Linked DNA regions of Lepisosteus oculatus. The protein of the gene in region 1 purifies or fractionates together with the protein of each later gene. This does not show direct contact. Links are inferred from orthologs where the notes say so. Each region holds a gene or a part of one and is shown on either strand. Other genes may lie near its edges.

Region 1 (6,953 bases):
AGCCCCAAGCATTATTTCCCCTGACATCCTGAGGTCTTCAAAGGAACAAGTAATACGTTTATTCCATGCTGAAAAGAGAAGAGAGAAAACACAATGTTTCGGCTGTGAAGCCTTCTTCGGGCGTGAGGTCTTTCAAATACCATCAGTACCATTTTCAGCTCTAAATGCCTTCTGGGAATTGCCTCTCAGGCAGGGATAATGTAGGTGAGCAGTGTCTTTCACCGGTACCTCTGACTGCTGGTAGGGAGAATGATTTTTTCGGGTAAGATAAGACACTCCTTTCCAGTGACGCACTGGCCAACAGGCTCACACCAAGGCCGCAAAGATGACCAAACACTGAATGAAAAGAGCCACTCATACAGAACGATTAACATTAGAGGACAGAAAACGACAAGTGTGAGAGGAAGAGGTGTCAGGCGGGAGAGAATGAATCACACTGCGGAGAACATCCTCACATTCTGCTGGCTGCTGGACTCTGAAGTGACCAGTACTGCTATTGATTCTTAAACTAGGTGTTTTTCCCGTTAAAGATCCGTAAATGAATATGACCTCTTGAACTGTCTCGCCCGTAGTGGTCCTGTCACTACGGCCCCGCACTCGGACACGAGGGTCTCGCCCTGGTCCTGTTAATACTGGTGCCGCGCACTGACTCGGGGGTCTCGCCCTGGTCCTGTCAATAACGGCGCCGGGCTTGGACACCTCAAGAGTCCCCAAAATCCCAAACTCTTTTGTCAGCAGTATCTCAATAGTGAGTTCCTGTAAATACAGTACTTCCTCAGAAACAACAGGTACCTCAGGCTACAGATTGTAGTGCCCAAGATCTAGACCTTTTGCACACATTTCATTGTTAAATTTATCTTTAAAGTGTGCAGTTTTTAAATGTATGCTGGAAAAATGTAACAAGATACTTTTGATTTTTTTACTTCAGGGTTGGCAAAGATGTGTTTACTCGGCTCCCCTGAGATCTCTTACTGGAAAATCAAGCTTAATTTTCGCTACAGACTGCTGCTCCTCTGCCAGTCCTGTGTCTCCTGTCCTCCAGTCCGGCAGCGCCATGGCCATCAAGCCTTCAACGGGACACGTCTGTCAGCTTATAGAGCCGAACCACCTTTGAACCGTTGAATGTCACATGAAAATTACTGATCAACCCAAAAGTCTTTATATTAACCCTTCAGTCCTCTCCTGCCCCAGAGTTCATAGCGACAGGGCCTTAACCTAAAACCTAATCCTAACCCTTCAGACCATATTGTTAGGGCTAACTTAACCTCATTTAACCTTATTTTAATCCTAATTTTAACCCTAACCTTAACCATCAGAACATAAACTGTGAGGGTTTCAGTCGTTGGAAGGACAGTGCAGCCCTCTTTGTCCCAGGTGGTCCCCTTTTGCAGAAAATTTGAAAAAAGAGCTCTATTCCCCTATCCTACCCTTAAACTTAGCCCTACAGTCAACTGCAGAGCCCGTGATCCAGGGTCATCATCAGTCAGCATCGAAGTATCTTTGCAATATCTGCAGTCTAGTTTCCTCCAAAAGAAAAGTTTGAAAAGAGTGAGACGAGAAATCCTTACCTTTCAGAGCTGGTTCATCTCTGTTACACGCAGGGATTAAACCTGGAAAAGCCAGAGAGCAGGGGAAGACAGTCTTCCACTTCAGTCCAACAGCTTCAGCTGACCCTTTAAGTTACAATGAGGCCTTATAACATTCGGAGAAATGTCCATTCAGACATCTTTAGCAAGCCAAGACTTGTCTTTCTGTGCTTTCCTGTTTCCATTGCTATAGCAGCAATAAATATGCAACATGCAAAACCTGCTGTGTCTCTCCGATCTGTCTGGTTCTGTTAGCTCCAGGAGAACAGGGCTGCCTGTGAGCTCGGTGTTTCTGAAAGTCTCTGCTCAGGCCTCCTTTCCCCATCTGACTGACGGGGAAGAAGTAATCTCTTTGCCAAAATCCTGAAATACAGTCTAAACACTTTCTATAAACAGGCATACTGTAATACATATGAATTTTAAACACCTTTGTCCAGTGATTCTGATGCTGTCATATAAATGGAACTACTTGGATGGCTTTTCTTAGATACTGTTTTCAAGTATTTTATTTATATTAGATATTATTTATCACTTACAACTGCCCCACCTTCACAAAGTTATCAGAAACAAGTCGTGTGTTTTTGTAGCAGGTTCACTGACATTCTCCAGCACAGAAACAGTATCCATATATTCATGATGTGTTGATCAACAGTGAGTGTGTGGCCATCGGTGGAGGCTGCACAGATGCTGTGTTGTGGGATTCATTTCCATGACTTTAATGTACATCTCTGCTTTTACAACGAGGCATGACAATCCCATAGTGAGGATTTCATTTTTTTTACACTTCAATCTATAAAATACATCATCACTCTCAAAATATAATTATACAAAACTCTTCCTGTCGTTAACAAAGGCTGTAACATTCTTGTGAAAGTCAGGTTGTTATGTCCAAATGCACTGGCTCCATGCAGAGAAAAGTGGTGTCCAGTGGTTAGTCAATCCACTGGCCAGCAGCGCTGTCCCCATGCTGTCCACTCGGACACACAGTGAGAGAGCCCTCCCTGTACCTGTACCTGAACCTGTTCCTGTACCTGTACCTGTTCCTTTCAAATGAGCCGGATAAGGACAATGACATCCAGCATCTCGCAAGGAAATCAGCAGGAGCAATCTACCACAAAACTGAAACCAATCTGAGCAACGTACAGGTGGCATGTGAAAGGAGTCGGATCCTGGTACAGTACTGTCTTACTTTCGGATCAAGATATCGTTGACAGCTCTGACAGACAGGGAAACAAGTCCTGGAAATGATTATGTGACATGCAAGAGGCATTTACAAGGCCTGCAGTCAGATCCCTGGTGCTGCACTGTACGTGGAACACGTGACGTACTCAGATCATCAGTGCTCTGTCCCAGGAGGTCTTCCTCCATCAGCTCCTCTGGGTGGGTCATGATGTCGGACTTCAGGCCCGCGGAGAGGGGGGCTCTTCCCTAGAGGAGCCAGGGCCGTTCAGAGACATGATTACAACAAACACAACACGACACGAGATTATGACCCTCGACCCAGGCCTCTTCTTTTTGCCTCATGTCCGTCTATCGAATACTGCCGCCCCTCTCTCTGGATCACAGGGCTTCAGCTTCTCCCTGCAGTGGCTAGCACACCCCTCCCTACGTAAGCCTGTGTGCGAGCCTGTCTTTCCACGAAGTAACCCGGGAGTCACCACAATACTGTTGTCTTACCGTACTTGATTTTCGGACAACATGAGTACAACAAATTGTAATGTAGATTGGAAAATTAAAGTTTAAGCAGCAAAATCCTGGGTGGATATCAGTCAAGGCAGCATGGTGGCGCTGTGGCTAGCATTACAGTCCTGTGGCCCTAGGATCAACTCCTGAGGTGCTATCTGACTGAAGTTTGTATGTTCGCCCTGTGTTTGTATGGGTTTCCTCCAAGTGGTCTGGTTTCCTGCTACAGTCCAAAGACATACTGGTATTACTGGTAGGTTAATTGGCTTAAAGGAAAGTTGTCTCTGCTGTGTGTGTACCCTACGGTGGACTGGTGTCCCATCCTGATTATATCCCACCTTTGGCCCATTGCTTACGGGGATAAGCTCCCCTACAACTCTGGATTAGATGGTTAAAGAGTGGACGGGTGAATGGATAAGAAAGCTTAAATTGAATTAAAATTCTGTAAAACCTCTATGAGGAATACTAAAGGACAGTAACTGAAAATAAATAACTCAAATAATCATTTTTTAGTAATATTCCAACATTTTACATTCTACTTTCTATTTCATCAATTGGTTCTACCTTATCTCTATCTTACAACCCTGGTCGTATCGGTTACATTGCAATATTCGGGCACAAGAGTGAACACCATACATACGTCACTAATGCCAGCCGCGGGACTGAAAGGACCCCAGCGACACCAGCGCAGAAAATCGAAACTGGAAACTGAGGTTTTGCTTGTTTGCTTGTGGGATAGCGGGTTTGAATGCGACATAAGTATAGGGTTTCAGAAGTTAACTTCACATTGGGAATCGACTGTTCGAGACTGGGAGCTAAGGCTATGTGAGAGAAGCGGCTGGTAAGTAACGTGTTGATTTTGGAAACAGGACCCAGTGGGCACCCGATCGGAAGGAGAGTGGATCGCCTTACGATCGGTCAGGCCCGCTTAGTACTGAACCGAGCCGAAGAGAAGCAAGAGGACGTGGAAATCAGCACTCGTCTGCTTACGAGCCGGGTCAGCGAGGCGGGAATGAGACAGCTGGTCTAGTGGGACTACAGCTCCGTAACACGAGGTACCGCTTGTCTGGTTCGCACTTTCTCTGAGGTTTGCACTGTCGTCCTTGGTCAGGGTAGGACCAGGGCGGGTTCGCACCCGCGTTTCACCTTTAGATAACTAGTGGCTGCTCGGTTGTAGAGGGTAGTCAGTACCAATAAGAAGGTACGCTTCATGGGGATGAAGGTATGCGCTCGTTATTGCAGAGGAGAAAATGCTAATACAAATAGAAACGAGTTCTCCTCTTTCTAAATTGCTTCATTTAGCGATACTAATTTATTTCATTTATACTCATTGTACCACTGAGTTGCATTATTACTATCTTTCACTGACTAGTAAAATAATTTCCTTGTACCCACTTGTCGGCATGTGGAAACGACGGCATTCTTACTACAAGAAGGACAGAAATTATACGCTATAACGTGGGAGGTCCAATAAGAGTCCAATTATAATATTCAGAATAGTAACGGAGGGTGGATAAATGCTTATGCTTAAATGTAAGGAGAATTGGGAAGGAAAGAAACAGCCTCTACTGCATTAGCAGGTGATTCCACTGTTATGGAAGTGACAGATAAGTAGCTAAGGGAGTGTGGTGCTGGCCAGTAATGCAGTGAGTGGACAGAGAGAGGCAGGAAGGAAGGAAGAGCCAACCTACACTGTAGACGAGTGCCTAGTCCTGACCCTCTGATTCTGACTCTGTCATTCATTCGCCACACTGCTTGATTTCTGGCCATCCTGTGTACTCCCTTGTGTTAATTCCAGGAAGTACAGTGAGCAGGTTCCGTTTCATCTGGGTTTATAACTGGTCCTGTATAGCTTTCCAGACCTCTCTTTTGTTCTGTGTCGATTACAAAAGGATACAAATGTGCGAATAATACCAATAACCCTGGCGTATGAATACGAGTGTGGTACAAATGTTGTTTCACAGATGTGCTGTTTCAACATAAACACCCAAGTCTTTTGTATAAGCAGCTTCTTCAAGCTCAGTTTCTTGTTTTGGATTTAACGTTTACAGTTCTCAGTCCAAATGCGTTTCCATTTTCCTTAAGGGCAACCACCTGTGTTTTCAGAATTAATGCTTTATGAGGAGCTTTTTCAAAAACCTTCCGTAAATCTAGATACACCATATCCTGTATCTGTTGCTGCTGTTGTTTGTTCAAAGAACTCTGACATGTTGGTCAGACAATACCTGCCTTCCATGCTTAATCTATAATCCAAGTTTATTGGTCTATAGTAGCTTGGGTCAGTTTTGTCACTCTTCGTGTGGATGGGCTCTACATCAGCTGCTCTCCAGTCCCTGGTACGAGCCCTGTCTTGAGGGACTGTACTGTAACAGAAGTCAAGAGTTATTGGTCTATAATGACCAGTAGTTCTCCAGTCCCTGGTACGAGCCCTGTCTTGAGGGACTGTACTGTAACAGAAGTCAGAGTTATTGGTCTATAATGACCAGTAGTTCTCCAGTCCCTGGTACGAGCCCTGTCTTGAGGGACTGTACTGTAACAGAAGTCAGAGTTATTGGTCTATAATGACCAGTAGTTCTCCAGTCCCTGGTACGAGCCCTGTCTTGAGGGACTGTACTGTAACAGAAGTCAGAGTTACTGGTCTACAATGACTATATTGTCCAGTAGTTTTCCAGTCCCTGGTACGAGCCCTGTCTTGAGGGACAGCTGGAAGAGCTGTGTAAGTGTCTTCTGAATCACAACTGTCATGTCCTGGAGTACAGTTGCTACTGTAAAATACCATCAGTGCTGGGATTTATTCATCTTGAGGGCTTTTAGTACATGAATCTCTTCTCCCTCTTTCGTATTGGTCCTGTAAAATATAGCACTGTGGTCTGTACCTGAGGCTTTCTTTAGTAAATACCTGGGTGAAATACTCATTTAGTATATCAACCATTTCCCTCTAATTGTCTAGAAGTTTCCCATCTTTATCTCTCAGATACATGTTACTTTATCCTTAATGATTTTCTTGTGCTATTGAAGAGTGTAGCAATTATTTGGTTTAACCATAGCAATATTACTTCACCTCTCTTGGCAATACACACTGGTTGAGTATCTGGGATAAGAAACAACAAGGAAAAACAAACCCTGATGAAGTACAGGCTCAGTGATCACTACCTGGGCATAGAAAGTGGATAGAGGCACACCTGGCTGCCCAGAGAGGACAGGCTGTGTTCCCACTGCGAGCTGAGAGAAACAGAAGCATAATACAGCATATGACCTCCTCTCACAGCCCGAGGAACAGACAGTGAGCCTGACTCTCAATAATGATAATATTGTGTGATCTCCTGTCCCAGCCTGAGGAACAGACAGTGAGCCTGTCTCTCAATAATAAGAATACAGTGTGTGATCTCCTGTCCCAGCCTGAGGAACAGACAGTGAGCCTGTCTCTCAATAGTATTAATACAGTGTGTGATCTCCTGTCCCAGCCTGAGGAACAGACAGTGAGCCTGTCTCTCAATAGTATTAATACAGTGTGTGATCTCCTGTCCCAGCCTGAGGGACAGTGATCCTGTCTCTCAATAATAATACAGTGTGATCTCCTGTCCCAGCCTGAGGAACAGACAGTGAGCCTGTCTCTCAATAATAATAATACAGTGTGTGATCTCCTGTCCCAACCTGAGGGACAGTGATCCTGTCTCTCAATAA
Region 2 (6,863 bases), on another chromosome or scaffold:
ACACCCAACAGGGTGTTCACACTCTTTACCAGCATTTATATAGAGTTTTTGATCTATCAGACTGGTAGTTACATTTATTAAATTTACCTTTATTTTGGAAACACTACATAAATAGACCCCTGGCATTACTGAGTAAACTAGCATGCAACACGGTCAGATTTACAGAATATTCAAGATTGACAAACAAAATGCTGCTGTCAATCAATGGCCTATTACTTCAATATTCAATAATATCCTCAGTTTGAAACTGTGCATATGATAGGCATAGTCACAGAATTCAAAATCTTAATATTCCTTGCAAACAGGTGGGCATGATGTGAGACCTTCTAAAAGTAGGTGGAAACATTACTAAGTTTTTTTTTTAATCGTTATAATTTGTGGCATCTTCGATTTTTCCAGGGAGTAGTGTTGGGGATACCTTCAAAAATCACAGATTTTATTTATAAAAGATCCTTGTACATGATGGAACCAAAATCTAGCTACGTGCTTTGAGTGAATAAGAGCAGAACATTTTCCCACAGTAGAAAATGACCATGGCTTTCTGATACAGCCATAAAGGTGGCCATTGCCTTTCAGGCTTTAACAGCTGGACGCGTGTAATTCTTTAAGATCGGCTACTTCATTTCAAATACAATAAGCATTAAAAGAAACCTTTAGTAACAACATATTTGCAAAGGTACCAAAAATATTTGTAGTGCAACTACACTGACATATTATTGGACACACAGGTAAATTCATTATGCCGATACATCATCATCATCACCAGAGTCGATCAACACAGGGTCTACAGTAAAAGTCACAAGCGAGTAGGTTGTGGGGGCACCACTGGAAGTAGCACAAGCTGTACACCTGCAACACATTCTGTGGGATTCTGTCCTATTCCTCTCTCAGGGTTTGAACAAGCATGTGCCTCTTCCCTGCCATGTTGTCTTAACTCATCCCACATATGTTCATCCATCCCTTTTCTAACCGCTTAATCCAGCCTAGGGTTGCGGGAGAGCCAGTGCCTATGGCAGGATCTACCCCAGCTGGGGTGACAGTCCATTGCAGGGCACACACAGAGACACTCATACGCTCATAAACCACAGTGCAGCTTCCCAGGAACCAATTAACCTATCAGTACGCTTTTGGATTGTGAGAGGAAGCCCACACAAAGCCAGGGAGAACATACAAACTCCACACAGAAAGCACCCCAAGTCTGAAATTGAAGCCAGGGCCCCAGGACTGTGAGTGAAAGCAATGCTAACCACCGGGCCATTATGCCACCCCATATACGTTCAATGGGCATCAAATCTGTAGAAAAGGCAACTATGTCATATCTCCCATGTTCCCACTTCACAAAAAAGCTGTTATATGATTTAGTCCAGGTTTAATTAATGATTTAGTTCAGGCCGGCTATTATATGATTTAGTTCAGGCTCTCACACCTGAAGAAGGCTCCACGGCCGAAAAGTTGTGTTTTCTTTTATTCTCTTTTCAGCATGGAATAAACCTTCACTTGTTATATGATTTATGTGTGAGCTGTCCTTCTGGAATTTTGTCATATCAGGATGTGAATGCAGGAAGGACAGCAAGTGAGGTCGCAGGTCTTACAATGCCATGTGGCAAATTAGTGATAAAATTGCTTGAGGCACTCCATAGCAACACCCCTGCCCAGACCACAAAACTTGGACTTTGCTCTAGATCTGCACATCTGTGCCACTTGCAAACATTCATTACTTTAGTCTAATCTGGACTGAATATGAAATATTCAAAATGACTGGCAAATTCCTAGCTTTTTAACAATTCACAAAGGATTCCATAGGCTGAATCACCCCCTATCATTAATAAAGAAATGTAGCTCTTGTACAACGAAATCATCAAGATCGGTTCATTTAATGCCCCCAAAACAATCAATATCCAAAATTCATGTGCTTTGCAAAAACAGAATGATCCATTTTGTTTTCACGCTCAGTACATATTCAAGTGAATCAGCCTGTTGTTTGGGACGTTCAGCAGACCAGTGCCCCCAGCCCACTACAACAATCCACACTTTTGGCGGTCCATTTCTAATATATTCATAAGCGTCAACGTAATCAGTGACAAAACAAAAAGAAAATATAAAATAAGCTACACCACGCCAACGTCGCCCGTTTAAGCTGCCACTAGTTTATAGCAAGGCTGTTGCATTAACACTACCGAGATGTACCGAGGATAAGGCCATAAAGGCATAAACCATCATCATCAGATGTCACAAGAAAACCATGTTCACCGCATGCCGGCCCACCGCAAACTAAACATTGTTGTTGGAAGTTTTAAAAACATGCCTCAGACTTACTTATCATAGACTAATCGCCAAAACGTATATTTGCACGGAAACCTACACAGGCTGGAGGCTCTCAATCACATACCGTCTGCAACAACAACTGCAGCTACCAACACGTGTTGAGAGAGCATTTGAGCAAAGGACAAACACGACTGAGGCGGCGCATATCGTAACCCCTCAGTGTTACAATGGACACGATTGACTTAAAAAGCTTTCTGCAAGTTTAAAAACTCGATGCAAGACGAGCATTTTGTTTGCAAACCGCATACAGGCCGCAAGAGAATCCCACGTGTAACAAAATACATGTCTAACAAAATAAGACGTGTTGTAATCCCGTCTTGGTAAATTAAAGCCACTTTAACTTTTAAATAATACGTTCCAAGCGTATTATTCCAAGAGTATTAAACTCGGATTTTAGGAAAACAGCGGTGAGCGAGACTGCTATTGCACAGTACTCGCTGACCCGAGGAAGGCGCCGAGATGCATAACCCATCTTCCCGGACCCAAACAATAAAAAACACCATTAACTTACAAGTCAGAGGACGATCTTTTTTTGTTAGAAGAATAGTCGTCGCCTAAATCCAACCGATGCCTTTTGGACATACTGTTTGACCGGGAAAAGGTTTATTTAAAAAAAATAATACACCTGAAATGCACACTTATTCCCAAACAAACCCTCCTCTTCAGTCACAGCACCAGGCGACAAGATGGCGACCGGAACCACTCATCTCGTCTTTATTATTTCACATAAAATAATGAAAATAACCCCTTCATTAAAATATATAGATGTGTTTGATTTTCTTTTATTTTCCACAAATATGTAATTATGAAATGTATTAAATAAAAATATTTGAGTCCAGGATGGTACAGCTCATCAGGTGCGGAGTGTTGAAAGCCGGCCGGCACCGCCGGAAGAAGGAAGACAGTACAGTAACCTTCCCGCCCCTCTGTTCCCTCCGTGACGTGTGGATGTGTTCTTGACTAGGGAAAATCTGGTGTCAATTCTGGGCTTCGTTGCACTCAAAATTGTATTAATTAAAAACGATACCAGTTTCGACAACTTAGTTCTATCGCGTAGATAGGCCTAGCGCGTATAGTGTTGCAAACTGTTATAGTTTACAACGCCGGCGTAACTGTTTTCATCATGCTAAGTGTCTTCACCAGTACTCAAAATTAAACTATTATTATGTTGCTGATGTTAGATTTCATAATTATGTTTAGACTGTTGAGATCATATCTGTGTTACCAAAAAGTAATGCATTTCATGATGACATCCAGGACAGCCTAACTTTATACAATGTACCTTTTTACACACATATATACGATATTATATATATATATGGCAATATACTGTAAGTAAAATACTAATTTCCTGTATAACTTTATATAAGAATATAATCCAAAGTGGTCACGCATTTTTTCAGACATTATTAACTAGGCAAAACATGAATTCTCAACTATTCAATATGCAATTTTCAGGCTAGCTGGATAAGTAATGACTGTGGAAATGAATGAGTGCTGGTTTCATATTTTTTACTTACACTATGTGAACATCCATGGATACACTGTAATGGAGGGGTCCATGGGGGTAGGAGATGGGATTATAGCCTCGGCTCCAGTGGACATAAGATTAGTTATAAACAAATGGTAGCCGTATTAGCAGTTAATTGATCTATCAGGCCTTTATTAAAAGGGGCCTAGGTATTAGCTTCAATGTCTGGTAGCTTGTTCCTCAACTCCCACAACCCTTTGTGTAAAGACGTGTCTTCTATTTTTGATTTAAAATGTACTTCCATATAGTTCTGGCTTTTCAGCAGTATTATTAGAGAAAGTATTATTAGAGTATTGTACCACTTAAAAATAAAATTATTTGCTTTAAATTTGGTCTATTCCCTGTTCTTCATTTAAATTAGGAAGCATTTTTACTGTACATCCATTTGGTTTTACATTAGAGAATGAAATGGAATAAGATTGAATTCAAACATGTTGGTGCCCACAACAGGTAACAAAATGATCCTTCTCTAGCTAATGACCACATTGGTAGGAATTGCAAAATATCTAGCATATATTTTCCTGGTTACTCTGTGGATTGATTGGCTATCTCTCACAAAAAACAAAATGTGAGAGGAGGGCAGATGCAGTTTTCATTGAAAACAATGTATCATGGTCATGGTCTCCTGCAAAACTGAAGAAATTACATGCATTTGCAAATGTTTTGCAATTCGCGAAGTGCATTTCCAACCAACAGAAGTTCATTCAAGGCTGGAGCAAACTTGAGAAATCCTGAGTTTTGAAACAATATAGCTATGGACCCTATTAACTCTGTTTAAGATGTGATGAGCTTGAGCACTACAAAATCTACCATAACACTGCACATGCTCCACAGTAGAGTGTGATAAACCTAGTGTACACCAGTGAAGCATAAACCTACTGGTTTTCCTTGGCTGTCAACATGTAATTTGATAGTTATTTATTTAATTATTTAATTTAGTCTATTATTTTTCTTCTATAGAAACTTTAGAAACTGATGCCCCAGGCTGTTGATCTTTCCAGGAAAAAGATGGTGGTGTATAAATCTTAAAAAACTCCCAGAAATGATTTCTGAGAACAGCTCCTATGCTTTTGTAGACGATTCTCAATAATAACAAGATTAAACTTATTAATATTTTTGAGTCATTAATTTTGCAAATGAGTTTAATCTACTTGCATTAAATTACAGTAATGAATAACTGCAACTTAACTACAATAAAATATGTGTTGGGGTATTTAGAAGAGAGAGTCATATAGACTACCGTATGTACTGTACTACCATAAAAAAGAAACTGCAGAAAATAGCAATTGTATTGTGAGATATACGATATACAAGAGAATAAGTTAATGTAAGAAGCTTTCCCCCAAAAAATGCATACGTCCTAATCTAAGTCCAATATCTTGGTCCCTATAACACATGACATGGATGGTGCTAATGCAGATCACAAAGTCAGTAAGTATGTTGTTGGGCCACCATTAGCATTGGTGACTGCAAGTACCTTATAGCAGTGATTTGTAATGTTATTGATGCTGACTGCTTCTGGAGTGTTCCAAATGTTGATCAGCTCCTCAGCAAATCCATAAATATCTGTTTAGAGTTCACTAGGCAGTAAGACACTGAATCACTTTGTTCGACAAATGTTCAATCTGAGACAAATGTGGTAGATTTTCTGGCCATGGAAGGAGCAGAATCTGTTACTCTGCCAAAAACAGTCATGCAACGTCTGCAATGTGGGAGCGAGCTTTACTTTTTTGCAGATCATGACCTGGGCCACATGCATGATGGGAAAAATGATTGGGGTGAGGAGAGTGTCATAGCCCTGCCTCTCTGAAAAATCTTCAACACAACTGGAGGTAATGTATTGTTTATTAAATGTGTACTTCCTTACCATTGCGGTAAAATCTGTGTATTGTTTTTCACCAACAGTATAAGATAAGATAAGATAAGATCACTTTATTGGCCAAATACAATTTCTTGTATAAGGAATTTGTCTTTTCACATACCCCAACTTGCTCTCCATGGACATACAGACAGACAGAGAGAGAACCTTGGGGTCAGAGCACAGGAACAGCCATTTATACAGCACCCCTGGAGCAGTTGGGGTTAAGGGCCTTGCTCAGGGGCCCAACAGAATAGGATTCCTCTGCTGGCCATGGGATACAAACCGACAACCTTCCAGCCACAGGCACAGATCCTTAGCCAAAAGTAATTGCAATTTTATCATTATTAAAAGTTATTAAATAGCATCTAAAATTATTTCTGCTCATACTTGTGAGGTGCAAACAAAAAATAAATTATTTTCAACAGGAAACTTTGGTTGCAACATTGGATAACCATGTAAACAATCAGTCTGTTAATGGGACATTTATATTCCATAACAAAGACCGTTAAAAACACTGCCCCCATAGACATAGCCACTTTAATAAGATCCCATGCAGCTTAAAAGCTATTGGATTATGTAGTGATGAATCGGTAGACACCTAAGACAATCATTGCAATTGACACAGGTAATTACACAACCTGGGCATTGCTAACAATCTTTGTAATGGCAAATGGCTCATTGCTTGTAACTAGGGATTGATGGTGATGGGAAAGAAGAAGTTAACATTACAAGTAAGCCTTACTAATGTTCCAAATTCAAAACTAATTTAAAATACCAGCCATTTTTTTCCACTTCTTTCACAGGCAATTAAATAACAGTCCAATTGTGTGTGAAATAGGACTGCCTGGCAGCCTCGCTGTCAAACAGAGGAAAAGGAACCTTTTGCAGGAGGAAGGGAAAGAGCAGGGGGTTGTTTTATAGCTAAAATGACTGGCACTTGAATTGAAAATACCTAGATGAACATCAACATAAAATGACTTCTGACAAAGAAAAGAAGAGTGAAATGATATTTTTCCCTGTTAGAAATAAGGAATTAGGCTGCATTCAAACTTATAAAGGCTCTAACTTTAAAATAGCTTTTAGCACAAAAAGTGAAAAGAACAGTATATTATATTACACGGGATAGCTGATATGTTAGTCATACTT

Evidence for each region.
Region 2: the proteins of cmtr1 (region 1) and dhx15 purify together in Homo sapiens (co-immunoprecipitation; 3 studies listed by BioGRID and IntAct, with this or other methods). This does not show direct contact. The link is inferred for Lepisosteus oculatus from reciprocal best matches to the Homo sapiens genes CMTR1 and DHX15.

Annotation. Positions count from the first base shown.
Region 1 is NC_090697.1:30,581,574-30,588,526, reverse strand, and holds the start of cmtr1 (cap-specific mRNA (nucleoside-2'-O-)-methyltransferase 1), read left to right. Parts: upstream 1-3,925; 5' UTR 3,926-3,982; exon of another isoform or gene 3,983-4,110; intron 4,111-4,138; 5' UTR 4,139-4,324; intron 4,325-6,953. Other genes in the region: avidin-like, read left to right, coding at 929-962. UniProt on the Homo sapiens protein: S-adenosyl-L-methionine-dependent methyltransferase that mediates mRNA cap1 2'-O-ribose methylation to the 5'-cap structure of mRNAs.
Region 2 is NC_090696.1:62,447,456-62,454,318, reverse strand, and holds the start of dhx15 (ATP-dependent RNA helicase DHX15), read right to left. Parts: upstream 3,022-6,863; 5' UTR 2,908-3,021; coding exon 2,837-2,907; intron 1-2,836.